3 linked regions of the Caenorhabditis elegans genome follow. The protein of the gene in region 2 interacts with the protein of the main gene of each other region in a pairwise test. Each region holds a gene or a part of one and is shown on either strand. Other genes may lie near its edges.

Region 1 (7,799 bases), 4.8 Mb from region 2:
TCTCAACTCTACAGTAAGCTGTTCCCATTCGTCCGACATCCTGTGGAATCCTCTGGAACAAAATTGTTTTGTTTTTTTTTCAAATTTTAAAATATTAATCTGAAATCCTACACTTTTTCTAGCCACTCAAAAGAAGAAACAGGAAGTCAGGCGAAAAATTATTTTATCTTCAACTTTTTTTGTTTGCAAAAATTAAATGATTCAAATAACCCGGTTCAGAAAAGGAATGGGGATGCTGCATTTTGAAATTAAAATAAATGGAAGTTTCAAAATGTGTTCGAAATGACAAAAACAAAACGGATAGGCATTGGATTCTATATAATTCTATACATACAGAGAATCTTTGGGATGTTTGGAAACGGAAATGGGGTGGGAACATTGAAAACTTATCAAAAGAAACGTTTTCAATAAAAAGCATTATAGTTGGAAAAGAAAAAGTTCTACCGGTTTAGCCGAAACAAAAATATGAAAATTATCACAATTTCACATGGGGGAACGATTGCAGGCGGACTTAGACTGGAAAGAAAGTATTTTGGTGGGATTTTTAAGTTTTGGAGGAAACGGTGAATACGGGGTTAAAATAATAATAATAATATCGGGATGGGTGATGAGGGGGTGAATAATAGAACAGGATTCAATGTGACGAGAAATGATTAGTAAAATAACGATGGGCGAGATTATTCTTCGACTGGAAGTTTTTTGGTTAGTGTACACATGGGGTAGGGAAAATCACTGGGAAGAATAGAAAAAAGAGAGAAAATAAAGGTACATATTCGGGGAGAGACGAGAAAATCAACTAAAAAGTTGCAGTGTCCCTTGATTTTCAAAAAAAAAAACAAAATAAAACTAAATGAGACCATAGACATTGTAGTATGCCTTCTTGTTAGCAGCGGCCGCTGCTGCTGCTGATTGTGGGGTTTTTGCAGTTGCAGGTGGAATATATGACCAGGAAAGCATTTGGCTTCTCATTACAGCATCCATCACCGAATATTGCGAGTCTAAGTGAAGAACATTCGGAGCTGATTGAGAACGAGTCAATTTTGGAAGAATTATGTCGCGAAGTCGTTCGAGAACCTGAAAAATTGGAATTCATTCATTAAAATTTATTTAAAAATCAAACTACAATATTTTTTTGGATTTTTCAGTGTAGTGGAGTTATTCATGAGCGAAAAAAATGTTTTTAAAAAATACATCGATTTCTTAAAAGCATGTTTTTATCCATTTTTCGACAGCGTCAAAGAGTGAAAAATCAAAGGAAGCCACCATATTTAGACAAAACTGCCAATTTTAAATGTGAAAAAAAAGAGCGAAAATGTGTGAAGTACTGGAAGAAAATAAATTCCGAATTGTCCTCGCGGTGTACACGGGGAGAACGCCCAGCTCGTAAATTTACACAACTTTTGAAGAGACATAGTCATATGAAAACGTATGGTCTCGCCGCATGGCGGCTTACTGTAGTTTTTCGCTCGTCGACGCTGTCGAAACATGTACAAAGTACAAAAAATCGATTTTTTAAAAGTTTTTTGACACTCATGAATAACCCCATAATAAATCATAGTTCTACCAAATTTCTAAAGTCGGTATTTCCCACTCACCTCTCCAAATACTGGCCGCTCATTTCTATCGAACATAATGCAATTGTCATATAATTTGAGCATGCTCTTCGGCGTATCATGTCGAATTTTCGATCTATCCGGCCTCAAATACCCTCTTCCAACCATAAACAATATCTGATCTCGATTATTAATGTTGGAGTATGGTAGATGCGAAGATAGAATTTCGTACATGCATATTCCAAAAGAATACACATCAGACTGTGGGGTATATGGATTATCATCTTGCATTCTGATGACTTCAGGTGCCATCCAGAGAATACTTCCTGTTGGTTGTTGTTGCTGTTGACCTCCGTTCACTGTCCATTTCGTTTTGACAGTTGCCAAGCCGAAATCTCCAATTTTTACCGTTGACATGTCATCCATAAGGAATATATTGTTCGTTTTCAAGTCACTGAAATGTTTTAAACATTTAAACATAAATTATAGATATGGTCAGTTACCGATGAATAATATTTTTTGAATGTAAATAATTCATTCCAAGAGACACTTGCTTCAGTATATCAATGATAGCACCCATTTCAAATTCGACGCGTGGCTCTGAAAATTATTAAATTATAAGAATTAAAATCTCAGTTCAGATCACCTTGAACATGAATATGTCTATACAAACTCGATCCTTCACACCATTGAGTAATAATTGCAATTTCTGGTTCTCGAACCCATCCCATAAACAGCAAAACATTCAAATGACGTGTTTTCTTTAAAACTGCAACTTCATTTTTAAAGGCTGCCATTTGAGAAGGCGTCGGATCAACAACATTCAGCTTTTTTATAGCAACAGTTCCGAAGAATTCTCCACGATAGACGGTACCGAAGGATCCCGAACCAACTTTGTATTGAATCTAAAAGAATGCTTGTTTTAATAGTTTTGACAGAAGTTTTGAGCGTTTTTTTATTGCTTCAACTGTAAAAAAAAAAGCTATTTTCAGATAAATAAAATGTTTTTTTTCTATATTCGATCACTGAATTTAAATGAAAAAAATTAGGATAACATGCTCCTTTTGTAGAACTGCCGGTTTGCAAAAGCCGTGCACCCTTGCTGATGTAGAATAAACTTACAATAAATTCATTCGGCAATATTTCCCAATCCTCATGATGTGGTTTCTGTGGCGGCCTGGGTCGTTGTGCATCAAGTCGTTCGCCTGGCGATCGACTACGATTTCGGAAGAAACCAGGTGAAATCTAAACATTTTTAATTGAAGAAAAATAGATTTTTTTGAATTCTACCTTCTGAGGAGGTGCTGATTGTGGTGGTGTTAATGGGAGAGTATGCAAATGAGCGGCTACTAATGATGACGTCGTTGATCCTGATACATTCGGGGATTGTCCAAGAGTAGGTTGTCCGATTAAGCCACCTGGAGGTGATGAACATGTAGATGAAGGAGAATTCGAGCCAAGAGGAGTACAGTCAACAAGTGGGTGAAGACGATTCATTCGAGCTCCTGAATAATTGAGAATAAGTGAAATTAAAATAATTAGAGTCGTTTGGGAAATTCTTGAAGGTGGAATAGAGTAAAAATTGTTTTTATAACTTTAGAAAAACGTCTTAAATTTGGAATTTTGTTTTTCTTCCCTGACCTTTTGACGAATCGTTATGTTTTCTGTTTTCGATTACCTGACAAAATATGTCCACTCTGGAAATGAGGTCGATGACGTGCTTGTGTTGAAAGTAACGATCCAGTTTTATCTCGTGATTCTTCTTCTAATCGCTGAGCTTCCAATGCATCAAGAATTCTTTGCTGAAAATAATACATTTTAGACTTTTTCTTTTAAAATTGGTGACTATTACATTATGTTGAACTGTTGCCTCATCATTAATCGCATTGATATTCGGAGCAGAAGAGCTCCGATCCCGTGGATAAGGTCCGGATGGAGATAATTGAGATGTTTCATTCTGTGGAGAAACAGCCATTGGATGTCTTTTGACACCACCCGTTCGTTTAATACTCGTCAAATCTGGATGAGAACTGTCTGGTGTGGCAGCTGGACTTTGTCCACTCGTTGGAGCTAGATTAGCAAGAACTATTTCGGCAACTGATCTATCTGGGCCTTCGACTTGTGATGCGATCCCAAAGAGTTCTTTCACTAGCTGAAAATTAAATGTTTTAGATAAGAATTGTTTCTGAAGCAGAGGTGAGCAATTACGCCATGTTGTTCCAACATTTTTCATTAAAAATCAGTGTAAAAAATATATAGAACCACCTTAATTATCTAATGATAACTTTTAATTATGTTTAAACATCTATGAAAATGCACAAAAATGACCTAGAAGTTGCGAATTGCCTATGGCAAATGGCCATTATTGTGCATTTTCACAGATCTTTAAACATAATTAAAAGTTGTCATTAGATAAATAATGTGGTTTTCTATATTTCGACGTTAATGACAAATGTTGGGACAACATTGGTAATTTTGTAATATTGCCGCCCGCCTTTGTTCTGAACGCACATCTTCATTTTTCGGTACAGATTGTAACAAATCGCAATAAAGTGGTGCAAACGATGAGCATCTTTGATGAAATTTGAATTGACAAAATTCACATCGAAATCCCATCATCCAGATAGGATTATTGCATACATCACATGATTTCGGTGGAATAAACGTTCTTCGAACAATTGCATGTTTAATCGATGAGACTGTATTCAGATATTCTGAATGAACCCATAATTCATTTCCAGGCAGTCGGGATGCGATCTCTTCCATTGTCAGCTGAAAATATTCAAAAATAAGAATTATGCTGTTAGATTCCAGTAAATCACACCGATAATTCAATAGATTCTTGTTTTGGGTCAGATGACGCGTTCACGTGACATAATTGAGGTGTGATATTCCGTTTTTTGAGCAATTTCGAAATGGCATCCCGCGCGGTTTCACCGGGACGAACCTGAACAAAATGTGCTTATTTTCTTCGTTTCACAGTGAATTTTTTGCTTACTTCAACCCTAGAATGTTGATCAAATGGCAAATGAACCATAATCATTTTGTATTTGAATTTTGGCGGTTCCTTGTCACTTGTTCCTGCTCCTCCAGCGGAATGATGTCCAGATAACGAATGAAGACTATCACTGTGCTTTGGATAAAGAGGAGTTGAAGGACTTGCCATCGGCGAAGCTTGATCCTGAAAATAATTATGAGTTACATATAAATATTTAATTGATAATCTTTGGAATGAGAAGTGGACGCTTGATTCTGAATTGAATAGATTAACACGATTCCCCACAAGTAACATGTAATTAGTGTTAAAAAATTCAAGACAAAGGATTCGTTGCTAATTTTCTACCTTCCGATCAATAGATGAAGAAGCACATCTCGGCAGACTTATAAGCCGCGGAGATGGGCAATGTGGGCTCGTCGGGGTGGTCGACGCCGATGACTTTTTGAAATTAATCCGACTCATTCGGCGGCGTGTCGACGATGATGATGGCGTTTGAGATGATGTGACAGGTGACTTCTAAATTGCTGTTAGTGATTACATGTAATTAAAAAACAAAAGGACAATTTGGACGAGTAAAACATTAAACACGGACTTTTAAAGGACATTTGAGAAATCAGAACAAGCAATAAGTAAATTACTTTTCAGATGCTCTATTTTATTATTGTGAAGCACTTTTTAAAACAATCTGAACAAATAAATGTTTCCCTTTAGCATTTTTCACTTTCATTTTATTTGTGGAAAACGTTCGAAAACACACCGTTTCGCGAGAGCATTCCATGTGAAAATTGCAGTTAATTCCAAAATAAAATAAACCAGAAAATCAATATATTCGCAGATAGAAGGTCAACAAAAGAAAGAGAGCGGCGGTAAGGGGCGCAAAGATGATTTTTTTCTTTTCCGAGAAGAGTACACGGAGGGAGTTAGTCCGCGGGCCGAACACACTTTTCTCTTCCATTTTCGCGCAGAAGATTTTAACCCAGATTTTGCAGGGTTTATTAGAATTTTCAAATAATAAGGACAGCGTTGCGCTCGGTTATATGAATTTATGTAGATGGAGTGAAGCTTTAAATAAATCTATTATTAATGGAAATATGGAATACGTTTATTTTCATTAGTTGATAAATTAACTTTTCAAATCTACAGTAACTCGATAGCTGAAAAGAAAAGTTAAAACTTGTATTGAAAAAGATGTTACGAATGAAACGTGGGATTCCCATGTTCAAAAAAGGAATCACGAATGTTCAATTTGCTGGCCAATTAAACAATTGTGTTCGCAAAGTTTTAAATGCAATCGTGTATTTTCTCAATACAGAAGCCCCGCGGGTTGCTTCATAAAGTCATTTGATTATTCAAATATCACTATGATTTCACAGAGTGTACCCTATTGATTTAAATCAGTTTTCAACTTACTGGTGCCGATTTCCGACGATTCCAGCCTCCATGAAAGTGACAAACTGAATACAGTACAGCCATTGCAGACATTTTAAAATGTTATGTGATCAATTATGGAATATAATTATCTCCAGATAACTTTAGAAGAATTTCAGAAAGTAAAAATATATTGTTAACAGGGGCCCCTTTGGATCCAATGGTTCTCTTCACACACAAAAAAAGAGAGGCGGGGTTTGTTTTCGCCATCTATTTTTTCTCACTGGTTTCTGTGCTCTGATCGAGAGAGATAGAAAAAGAGAGCAAAGAAAAAGAAACGTGTAAATCGGGAGCGACACGTGCCACGAATAGGTTGACAATGTTTTCAGCGTTGGGTCTTAACACGAAACAGATGACCTTAGTTTGTGAAGAGAGCAGCAAGTTGATTTGAAGAAACAAGGTCATACGTGACAAAACACAAACTAGAAAAGAATATATTCGAAAAAAACCACTAATCAAATTATAAAAGAAGGAACTAGATGACATTTGGTTAATAAGCTACTTCTAGTTAGTACACCCCGAATTAGCTGTGAAAGTTGAAAAAACGGGAAAAGTTTATCTGAAACTGACAGACTAGACAAATGTCTGTGACATATTGCAACTAAGATTTTGCAGAATGTGGACATTTTTGAGAAAAAAGGGATTACATGACTCAACTGATTACCTTTACGTTATGGTAATTTTCAAATTTTCTGAAAAGTGAACTGATCTGTTAAGATTGGTCTTGCCACGAAAAAATAGTTCATTCTAGGATTTAGAAAAATTTGGTATCATTTGCTTCCTTGGAATCAACTTAACTTAAGTATTACTTATCAACTTATTATCTTAACATTTGTCAACTTTACCACTTTTAAACAGTTATTTTGAAACTAAATTTTCGAAAGTTGGAAAGCAGAATAAAAGCAGCTGGCATCACGGAGATTAAAACATATGTCTTAATGTGTTTTCTCGCGACGAGACCCATCTGAGTTGATACATGTTTTGAGGAATAAGCGTGAGTCTAAAAATCTATTTTGAAAAATCTATGAAAAAAATCCAAATTCTACGAATAAAAATCAATGGGATCGCGCATCAAATGTGTTTTGTTCGTTCCGCCTCTTCATTCCACTCTATTCTCATCTTTTTCCGCCAATTTCCACTTGAAAAGTGCGAACAATTCCTCAAAAAAGAAACAAAATACACTATATTCCACATCAAAGAGGTCATTTTTCTATCAAATATTTGTTTTGGTTTATCAAAAAGATTGAGGTTCTAAAGATTATTATTAAAAGTTTTAAATAAACAAACTACGAAAGCATTATTTTGATCTAATGTTGACTATACAAAACTTTTTCAAATTTCTTTGATCACTAGAATTTCAAAAAAAAACCTATTTCAGTATAATTGTAGTTCGCAAAATAACAATTATTTTCATTTTAATGTGAGATATCGTAGTTCTTAATATAGATTTTCAACAGAAATTCAGAAATTTGGCTTCATCGAAATTAACTTTGAATCGTACATTGGGACGTCCTGTCTTCAGAAATTTTCAGCCGACATGCTCAAACGAGCTCCAAAAAAGTTTAAAAGTATCTATTGCAAGGTTTTCGCCAGCTTTAGAAATTAACACCAAATCTACCTCTACAGTTAAAAGTTTAAGAGCATTGGACATTTCAAATTGAACGCTATTCAAAGATTATAATCAAAGATTATAATCGAAAAATCGATTTTTCGATTTTAAACTAGATCCCTTGAAACAGTGAAAAAATTTCTATGTTTAGTCGCTCAAAAACCTCTTCATACTCTGTGTGCTCGTTGTACTCAAAGTTTGTCTTTTTACT
Region 2 (5,025 bases):
CAGGGACCCTGGAATCGATGCGAGGGAGCCGTCTGAAGATGGAGCATTCCCTTCTAGAAAAGGGTCCCAGCGGCTTCTCTGTTTCTCTTCGTATTTCTCCGTTTGGCACACAAAGAGGCTCCGCTCCTTTTTTTTTGAAGCGGAGCAAAACTAGGATGACAAAGAACGCAAAAAAGAAGAGGTATAAGTTGATTAGATCTGCTGGAAGAAGACGGATGAAATTTCTTACAAGAGAAGAAGAAAAAACTAACGGACATGTAATCTGGATAATGCTCTTACAAGTGTTGTTTCTTGATGACGTACACTGAAGTGGAGTAGGTTTTCCGAAAAATAGTCGATTCATTTTTAAAGAGGGAGTAGGGATTTTGGGTTTTTAATTAAAAAAAGGGCCCGAAACAACCGAAAAATTTCCAAAATTTGTTTTAATGGCGGAGAAGCTGAAATTTCCGCAACTTGACGTTTTCGTAGCAGCACCTGGAATACAATTTTTATTATGTTATCAACATTTATTGTATAATTTCCTCGCTTATCAAGTGTTAATTCGTTGATTAGGGCACATTTTAAAATGGTCGGCGCCCAAAAATTACCAAAATTGGATGCCTACCGACTTAAAATGCGCTTAAATCTACGAATTAACGCGTAATAAACGAGAAAAGTATGCAATAAAGATCGATAATTTGATAAAAACTGTATTCCAGCACCCACGAAAACGCCAAGTTGGCGAAATCTCTGATTTTAGAAAAAACATTTGCCTTCATTTTTCGAAATTCTGACCCAAACTTTCTCGGACTTTAGAAACCCGACAAACTCTACTCCCCCTTAAAAAACAATATTGGCAATGTGAACAGAAATTTTTAGTGTTGAAATTGTATTTGCATGATTGAATTATTTTATTACCATTTTCCTACAGGCCGCTCAAATCCCCAATTTCCTATTTTTAACATCCCATTCGGTCATTAAATGTTGACACAGTTGGGTAACCGATGGCTCGGTGGCAATGCTCAGAACAGCGATTCGAACAGAAATCGGCTAAATATCTGTTTACCCTTCAAAAACTACAACCACTACAGCTATGTTTCGAAAACTCTAGCCAACAGTTGAACGTACCTTGCATTTTTGCTGCTGGAATTGTTTCGAGTTTTGGCCCAATTTTCGTTGTTACGACGTTGTTTTCTTGGACTTTTACATCAACTGAAACAATTGTTTAGGTGTTTTGAGTGACAGAGTAAATCAGATCGACAAAGTACAATCAGACCAATTCCGAGCTAGGCATAGTTAGCCAGATCTAGGAAGAGGAAATCAGAGTAAAGTAACTATGATTTATTCCAATCGACAAAGCAGAGCTAGTCAGGGCTAGTCAGATCTAGGTAGAACTAGGCAGAGTAAGTCAGACTTGATTTACTCTGTCTAGTTCTACCTAGATCTGACTAGCCCTGACTAGCTATGAAATTACCCATATAGTGGAGCGCACTTACTGACCCTTCGAATTTCAGGCGGGAATTTAAATTTTAGTTTTCTCGTTTCATGATATCATACAATACTTATGTGTGATCATATTTTGACTTTGAATTATAACTTTTCGAAGCAAGTTTGAAAAAAAAAAATCGCAAGACAAATCAGAAAAAAAATCATTAAATACTGTTTTTCTGATCGACTTCTAAAATTAGTATTTGGAGAACAGAGTAATTCCCGATTTTTGACAATACATGAAAAATTTAAAAGAGCTAACAAATTGAAAAGTTTCATTATGTATTTTTACACAGTGTCAGGTTCTCCCATCGCTAAACTGCACACGAGATGCGAGAAAATGTAGGGTACTGTAGGTATACGGTGGGGTTACTGTAGTTTGGGAACATTTGAATTTTTGACTTTTGAAGAGGTATTGACTTGAAGTTAGTAGGGGGATATGGTCAAGGTACTGTAGTAGTACTGTAGGAAGTTTTTAGTTTTCTCGAGAAGTTTTTTTTGCGGGAATTTCAGATTTCATAGTTCACTTTGAGAGAAACGGTGTGTTATTACCGGCACAGAGAGTGTAGATAGTTAGAGAGTGACAGACATCCGGGACCCAATGGGGCGGGGCGCGCGGAAGAGACGATTTGTGTCGATTTACGAAATGATGACAACGAGGAAAATGTCGTAAATCGACACAAATCGTCTCTTCCGCGCGTCCCGCCCCATTGGGTCCCGGATGTCTGTCACTCTCTAACTATCTACACTTTCTGTACAGGTAATACAGATTTCGACCATTGATTTGTTTATATATGGATATGTTCCACTGTGTTATCGGCGCGTGCATAGCTTAGTGGTTAAGGGATGGGATTAGTAATCAGAAGATCGGGGTTCGGGAAACGGCAGGGGCTTGAAGGGAAGGTTCTATGAAGCAGGGCGAAGGGTTGACAAGGAGAGGCAATAAGCAAGTAGTAGGGGTTCTCTAGAAAACATTTTTGTCTTTAATATGCGTTTTCTACTGATTTATTATTGATATTTGGATCCCCTTTTCTAGAAAAAAAAATCAGAATCAGCAGAAAAATTTGAGAAAAAGTCATAGCAAATCAGAGTTGGTCAGAGTAAATCAGAGCTAGGCATAGTAAATCATAGCTAGTCAGAGAATATCAGAGTTAATCAGGGTAATAAGTAGACCTAGTCATAGTAAATCAGAGCTGGTCAGAGCTAGTCAGGTCTAGTCATAGTAAAGCTGAGCTAGGCATAGTAAAGCGTGGTTACTCCGAGTAAAACCACACTTGCACCGAACTGCGGTTAGTGTGCTTTACCATTATGTAACTCCGCTTTTTACTCTGAGTTAGTATGATATGGTTTGTCTGAGGAACAATTCAGTGTGACACGTAATTTGTAATTTTTTGATCCGATTAAAATTTGTTTTTTTTTCTTAATTTTCGAAAAATCGCCTCACCGTTTTGATCAGGTGTAGTTCGAACTTGCTCAACCAGCGGAACATCATGCGTTTCTTCATCGGCAACCTCCACCGTCACCGACATTCTGAAAAATCTGCTTAATTACGCTGTAAAACGAGTAAAATTAAGTCACATAAAAATTATAAGTGTAATTAATACTAATTTTCAGAAAAACAACTAATAAAGCATCAAACTCCGAATAAAAACTGCTTTTAGGAAGAGAAATAAAATTAAGAATTCAAATTTACAAGCCTTATTTATGAGTCGCGTCGAGACCGATGCGCAGATATTCAGTGTGTGCCTTTAAAATTGACCTACGGTATAGGCTACTTAAAATTGTTTCAAATCTGTTTTTCCTTTGATCAATATTTTTTCAGAATTTCAATTGAAAGTTTTTTAAAAATATATATTTTTTGAATTATAAACGAAAGTGTTTTAAATTAAAAAAAAACACTGGTTGTGATGTATTAAAATCTCGGATTATTTTCTAAATATTTATATTTCAGGATTAAAAAAAAAACAATTAAATTGAGTTTTTTTCCGAAAATTACTACAATGAAAAAAGCTAGACATTTTTGACTGCAGGGTGCCAATTTTTAGAATTTTAGTTATCTACTCTTACTCAAGGCTGTCTAATTGAGCATGTACGCAAAGGCAGAGATAGAAGTAAAAAGAAAGAACTCAAAGTAGAGACAACAAGAACAAAGGTGCACCCAGGTGGCAGTAGTGGAAAAGAAAACAAAAACGCATTTTCTAAGAGGAAAATGTTAGGTACAAATGCTTGAAAAATGGATGTCGTGAGCTGTTGGAGGGTGGTCAATCGGGGAAAAACGATATGATATGGAAGGAAACAAGAGGAAGAGGGGTAGAATAATATGAATATAAACAATTGAGAGATCATATGGAGACATATACTATTTCTTTTTTGTTTATCAGTCAAAGAAATATAAACGTTAGAGCACAAAGATATCAGTTTTCAAAACAATACTATCAATTCATTGCTAATGCGGAAGAAGACAAAAGCAAGACAAAAAACTAGTGAGTGTGCTAGGTTCTGCCTTGATACGAGACATAGAGAGATGAAGGACAAGGCCGGCGTTCTGTTTTCGAGACAAATCAATGTTTGATCAGCTGGAGGATCAACACGAAAAGAGACTGGGGAGAATGACAACAAAACAATCAGTTTTCGACGCTTTTGGCATGTTACGGTTTGAATTAAAAAACAGTAGCTGCTAGTTGGCACCGGCCCAGACGCGAAATTTTGTCCCAAAAATACGGTACCCGGTCTCGACACGACGAATGTTTGATTTACAAAAGGGTGTTAGCCTTTAAAGGTTACCGTAATTTCAAGCTTTACTGCTGAATTTTCATTTTAAAATTTTTTTTCACGATTCGAACGATCGTTAAAATTTATCGGATTTTTTCAGTAACTCATTATATTTTTGTTTGAAAATTTTACAGCAAACTTTACAGTACTCTTTAAAGGCGCATGACTCTTCGCATTCAACAAAAATGTCCTGTCGGGAGTCCCTACTCGGGACCCGTTACCATATTTTTGTAGCAAAATTTCGGGGCAAAAAAAATATATTCCCCTGGCATGCATTATTTATTTATTTCGGATATGAATGTGATTTATTATATCGGGGTGAGAATATTTAATAAATGAGTTATGAAATCCACATCCATTGTTTTCGACTTTTCCTCTCCTTTCTGTTTTGAGTTTACTTGCACTTTCAAACATCTGATAACAAGCTGATAACTGCCAACTGGGACGCAAATGAGCAGTAATATAATTATTGAAGAGAAGGAAGAAATTGAAATAAAAAAATTGAATCGGGGTTATAAACAAAAATTGTCCTATTTCAACAATACTTTGTGGCCGATTATCGAGACAAATCGCGGTGGAAACGACGACAATTTTTTGAAAATTTGGAACACAAGTACAACATTTTGAATGAAGAATATATTCATATAGATACGATTGGGAGGGCATTTATGTTAACGTAGAATATATATAGCGTATTAAAAGTTGAGAATAGCTTGCGATATATAGGGACTCCTAGATAATGTAGAGTCGAAGATTTCAGTCTTGATTTTTGGTGAGTTGGCAAAG
Region 3 (4,007 bases), on a different chromosome or scaffold from region 2:
TTCCAGCAACAAGCTGTCCTCTCTTTGCCACTGAGCAGGTAAGCATTACAGAATTGATTTTTGAAACTCTCTCTCTTAAAATATATTTTCAGCATGATAAGTGAGTTGGGCAAGTTCGGTGAAGACGATGTCTCTCAATACATTGGTATTTCGGATGAAGAACGTGGCATGTTCATCAAGCGTCGCACCCATCTTTTCACTGTTGGATGGAACGATTTGGTCACTCTTCAGGTTTGTTCACAAATTTTGAAATGAAATAGCATATTGTTTTTTTTTCAGAGTCCAGACTTCTACCAGGCGATTGTTCTAATCCTTTCGTACATCCTTTGCAACGGAGGTGTCACATCAACTGAGAATGTCTTCGAGTTCTACCAGACCGATAACGTGCCGCTGTCTGTTCGTCAACGTACGGGAAGTGACATGAATTCCTTCCGGGAAATTATCGATTTTCACTCGTGGGCGTTCACTTTATCATCTCACGGTACCTATGTTTCTGCCAAGAGAAACTTGCCACATTTCGACTACATGTCCTTCTTCGAAGGAATTGTGTGCACCGCAACACCACAACGACATCAGAAGAGTAAGCTTCTCAAGCACCCACCAGGATTGCAAATTCCACTGTTGAATACCAGAGCACAAGCTCTTGGGCAGGCATCCATGCATCAGCAACAGCAGGAACACATTTCTAATCCGTATCAAGGATATCAGCCATATTTGCACCGTGAAGATATGACCAATGGAATGAAGAAGCCAACTGGGACTCTGATCGATGGAGCAAACCAAAAGCATTGTTTTGGGATGCAGGTTTCATCACCGGACCGGAATGCTTTCGAAAAGCCATCAGTATTTGGCCACACATGGGGTGATGTGATCGCTTTCAATAAGAACTCTGCAAACTTCTCACGTGGAATGCAATCCAAGAGAAGATACAATCTCTCCTCCATGTTCAGAAACCTGAAGTGTAAGTTTTCTTTAGAAAATAGTTCATCGTTTTCGTTCATCGGCTTAAATAATTTTCAGATTCTGGATTCCGCTCATCAATTGACTCCACGTCAAGCTCCGACGATTCTCAATCCTTGGATAATTGCTCGACTTCTGGTGTGAACAACATGCTCATTGGTTGCGGTCCACAAATGTATTAGATATTTTTTGAGCTTGTATTCTTTTTGCCATAGTGCCAATTGTCCGTAAATTTATGTTCCCATTTTTTACCAAAAAACTCCCCGTATAGTTTTATCACACCAACCCTATTGTGTTCCCATCCCCTAGTTTATTGATTGCCGGTATCTCCTTAGAACGAGGTATCAAGAGTATTGCCTTGCTTCTTGCTTCTCATGATAATTATTAATCAATGACCCATATAATAGATTTGATTATAGTATTAACTGAAATTTATAATATTCCCTTCTCCTTTTGTTGCCTTGGTTAAGCATTCAAGTTTTACATTTGTCATTAAAATGTTCTTTCTATAGAGTTTTGAATAAAAACTGATTTCAGATCGAATAAGAAAATGCGTTTTCTGGAAGTACGTATTTACTTAGATTGGACTGCATCAGAAAGCGTTAAAATCCGATTTCCGAACGGTTAAGATGTCCCTACGAGGGACGCCATTTCTCTAAACCACGCTTAACCTCTATGGAAAAATACTGTATATTCCCGCAATCTATGACCGAATGAAGCGGTCGTTTCCGTGGCATCAAATTGATGACTTCGTTTTTACAATATTTTGTTGTTAACAAATTATCGATTTCTGCCACAGAAAAGTTGTTTATATGTAGTAGTGTTTGCTGTATTTGCGGCTCGTCACAAGTTAACCACGTCGGATTATTTTTCAAGTATTCCTTATGTTTTTCTTTCTTATTGATGTTTGTTCTTGAATGATTTAGGGATGGTTCAAAAAGTGGTTCCATACGTCACGTGATGCCTAATCGAATTAAAGACGTTGAAAGCAGACCAAAAAGTGTTAGCTCGTCAGTCTCAGTTCAACGTTTCGCTTTCATATACATACACCATGAAGCCCGAAATCTATGTTTTTATACTGTCATCATATCTCTACCGGTGTTTTGCCATTGTTGGTCCTATCACAGAAGATTTTGTGCAATACTTGAAAGAGTGCGTTTAAGGGAATTACAGATAATGAGAACTCTTATCAAATCAAATTCAGAGTGGAACATACAAATTCCGGGTTGCTTCGCCACGTTAAAAGTTTCGATCACACTGGGTCATTCGGAGGGAAAAGTTTTCCACAAGAAAAAGTAGAAACAAGAATAGGTTATTGAAAATAGAAAATTTAACTTTCAGGTTAAACATTCACCAATTGTATTCATTCACGGAAATTCGGATTCTGCGTTGAAATATGGTAATGATCAATATCAGTCCGGTTGGGACACAGTTGTCCAGTATTTTATGGATCGTGGATATACGCTGGCAGAGCTATATGGAATATCTTATGGTGACAGGAACATGACACAATCTGTTTTTAGGTAGAAAATTATACTACACATTGACTTTGGTTCTGTAAACCTAGAAATTGATTCTAGAGTTTTCAACTGTCAGGACCTATTGCTCCATCGCCAGCTTCTTCTCTCAGTTTTAGTGTACACCGGTGCCCGACATATTGACATCATTGCTCATTCAATGGGAGTAAGCATCGCACGGGCAATTATCCAAGGCGGAAAAGTTTATATTTTTGAATACTTATTCTTAATCAAGGAATTTGTAGTTCACATCAGAGAAAGAATCGTGTGACCTTGGTTCAGACTTTTCATCTTTAATAGGAACATTCATAGCAATTTCCTCTGCAAATTATGGAATGTGTTCATGTGAAGCTGGCACGGCTTTTCCAGCTTGTGACAAAGAAGTGATACGAAAAATTAACCCATTGGAGTATTAATTCGAAGTTTCAGATTGGTTTTTTCCCGGGTTATTGTCCAAGACAAAACTGTTCTTCTCCAAGTATTAAAATTGGTGCTCAATGCTATAAGGCAAGTTTTGAATTGATAACTTTAAATTGCGTTCAGGAACCAATTGGAAAGCAAAAAATCTTTTCTTCAGACAAAGTACTCCAAATTTCTAACAAAGCTCAATAAAGTTCATAAAAAAGAAGCAGAATTCATAGCCAGTATTTGGAGCAAAGGTAAAACCTAGAAATATCTTTTGAAACAAACATCAGAAAATTTCAGATGATGAAGTTTTTCTGAAAGGGAATCTAGTTTGGGGAAAACAGACATCATTGGTCCCAGGCAGCAACATTTGGAAGGTTGAATTTCATTTGAACAATAATTAAATTATATTCTATTGCAGGAGTATCCTCAGTTAACACATATGGAAACTAAAACTGAAACAGCAGCGGACCAATTTAAAATCATTACTTCAAGATCTGCTCCGTCAGCGCAAACTAAAAAATCATATGCGAAAAGAAAAAACTGGAATTTTTATTGACAGAATTGAATGCATAAAGATTTATATCACTTTATAGTTTTTGGTAGTTCAAGCTCATTGTTCAAATGAAAAGTTTTTCATGTTCACGGTGTACTTCAACTTTTTTTTATTCGTTAATTTTTAGGTTTGTATCAAGATTTTGTTTCAACCGAGTATTAGCGTACAGCAACTTTTACAGTTTTCAGCAATCAAAAATTTTTAGATTGGACAATTTTGGCAACTACCGATGACAACATCAAATAACAATTACATCTTGAAAAACAGAGACACTCTGAAAGAGGCCAATATCTCACCTTAAAAGAAAGAATAAAAACGATTGTTTTAAAAAATATGTACATATGAAAAGTTCCACCCTAATCTTTTGGCAACTTCGGAAAAAAAATTCCAAGTAGTGACACTTTGCAATTAAAATTCATGATCAGTTATTATTTTTTTTTTTCGATTTGAGAGTCTGGACCAAAAATCAGATTCGGAAAAAAATTTGAGACTGCAAGATTGAAAAATTGAGATTGTACAATGTTCACTGTTAAAACTCGATAATGATACAAAACTAGAACCGAATTCTA

The links.
Region 1: the proteins of sms-1 (region 2) and lin-45 interact in a two-hybrid assay, tested with the Caenorhabditis elegans proteins (one large-scale study listed by BioGRID).
Region 3: the proteins of sms-1 (region 2) and lips-2 interact in a two-hybrid assay, tested with the Caenorhabditis elegans proteins (one large-scale study listed by BioGRID).

What each region holds. Positions count from the first base shown.
Region 1 is NC_003282.8:6,742,392-6,750,190, forward strand, and holds lin-45 (Raf homolog serine/threonine-protein kinase), read right to left. Parts: upstream 6,034-7,799; coding exon 5,962-6,033; intron 5,424-5,961; exon of another isoform or gene 5,330-5,423; coding exon of another isoform or gene 5,309-5,329; intron 5,068-5,308; coding exon 4,897-5,067; intron 4,735-4,896; coding exon 4,552-4,734; intron 4,501-4,551; coding exon 4,378-4,500; intron 4,326-4,377; coding exon 4,065-4,325; intron 3,706-4,064; coding exon 3,406-3,705; intron 3,356-3,405; coding exon 3,232-3,355; intron 3,059-3,231; coding exon 2,844-3,058; intron 2,799-2,843; coding exon 2,676-2,798; intron 2,459-2,675; coding exon 2,200-2,458; intron 2,154-2,199; coding exon 2,057-2,153; intron 2,008-2,056; coding exon 1,596-2,007; intron 1,075-1,595; coding exon 847-1,074; 3' UTR 147-846; downstream 1-146. Other genes in the region: smg-7 (DNA/RNA-binding domain-containing protein), read right to left, coding at 1-39. UniProt on the Caenorhabditis elegans protein: Protein kinase that participates in the induction of vulva and has roles in fertility and viability. Acts downstream of the Ras protein let-60. Required for progression of developing oocytes through the pachytene stage.
Region 2 is NC_003282.8:11,495,172-11,500,196, forward strand, and holds the start of sms-1 (Phosphatidylcholine:ceramide cholinephosphotransferase 1), read right to left. Parts: upstream 3,004-5,025; 5' UTR 2,997-3,003; coding exon 2,912-2,996; intron 1,192-2,911; coding exon 1,108-1,191; intron 168-1,107; exon of another isoform or gene 1-167. UniProt on the Caenorhabditis elegans protein: Sphingomyelin synthases (SM synthase or SMS) synthesize the sphingolipid sphingomyelin (SM) through transfer of the phosphatidyl head group of 1,2-diacyl-sn-glycero-3-phosphocholine (phosphatidylcholine, PC) on to the primary hydroxyl of ceramide (N-acylsphingoid base), yielding 1,2-diacyl-sn-glycerol (diacylglycerol, DAG) as a side product.
Region 3 is NC_003284.9:12,283,813-12,287,819, forward strand, and holds lips-2 (LIPaSe related), read left to right. Parts: upstream 1-1,983; 5' UTR 1,984-2,011; coding exon 2,012-2,112; intron 2,113-2,164; coding exon 2,165-2,255; intron 2,256-2,301; coding exon 2,302-2,483; intron 2,484-2,540; coding exon 2,541-2,679; intron 2,680-2,722; coding exon 2,723-2,860; intron 2,861-2,906; coding exon 2,907-2,984; intron 2,985-3,054; coding exon 3,055-3,136; intron 3,137-3,182; coding exon 3,183-3,259; intron 3,260-3,303; coding exon 3,304-3,441; 3' UTR 3,442-3,474; downstream 3,475-4,007. Other genes in the region: C04B4.2 (EF-hand domain-containing protein), read left to right, coding at 1-38, 93-231, 280-961, 1,021-1,142; C04B4.5 (uncharacterized protein), read right to left, coding at 3,847-4,007.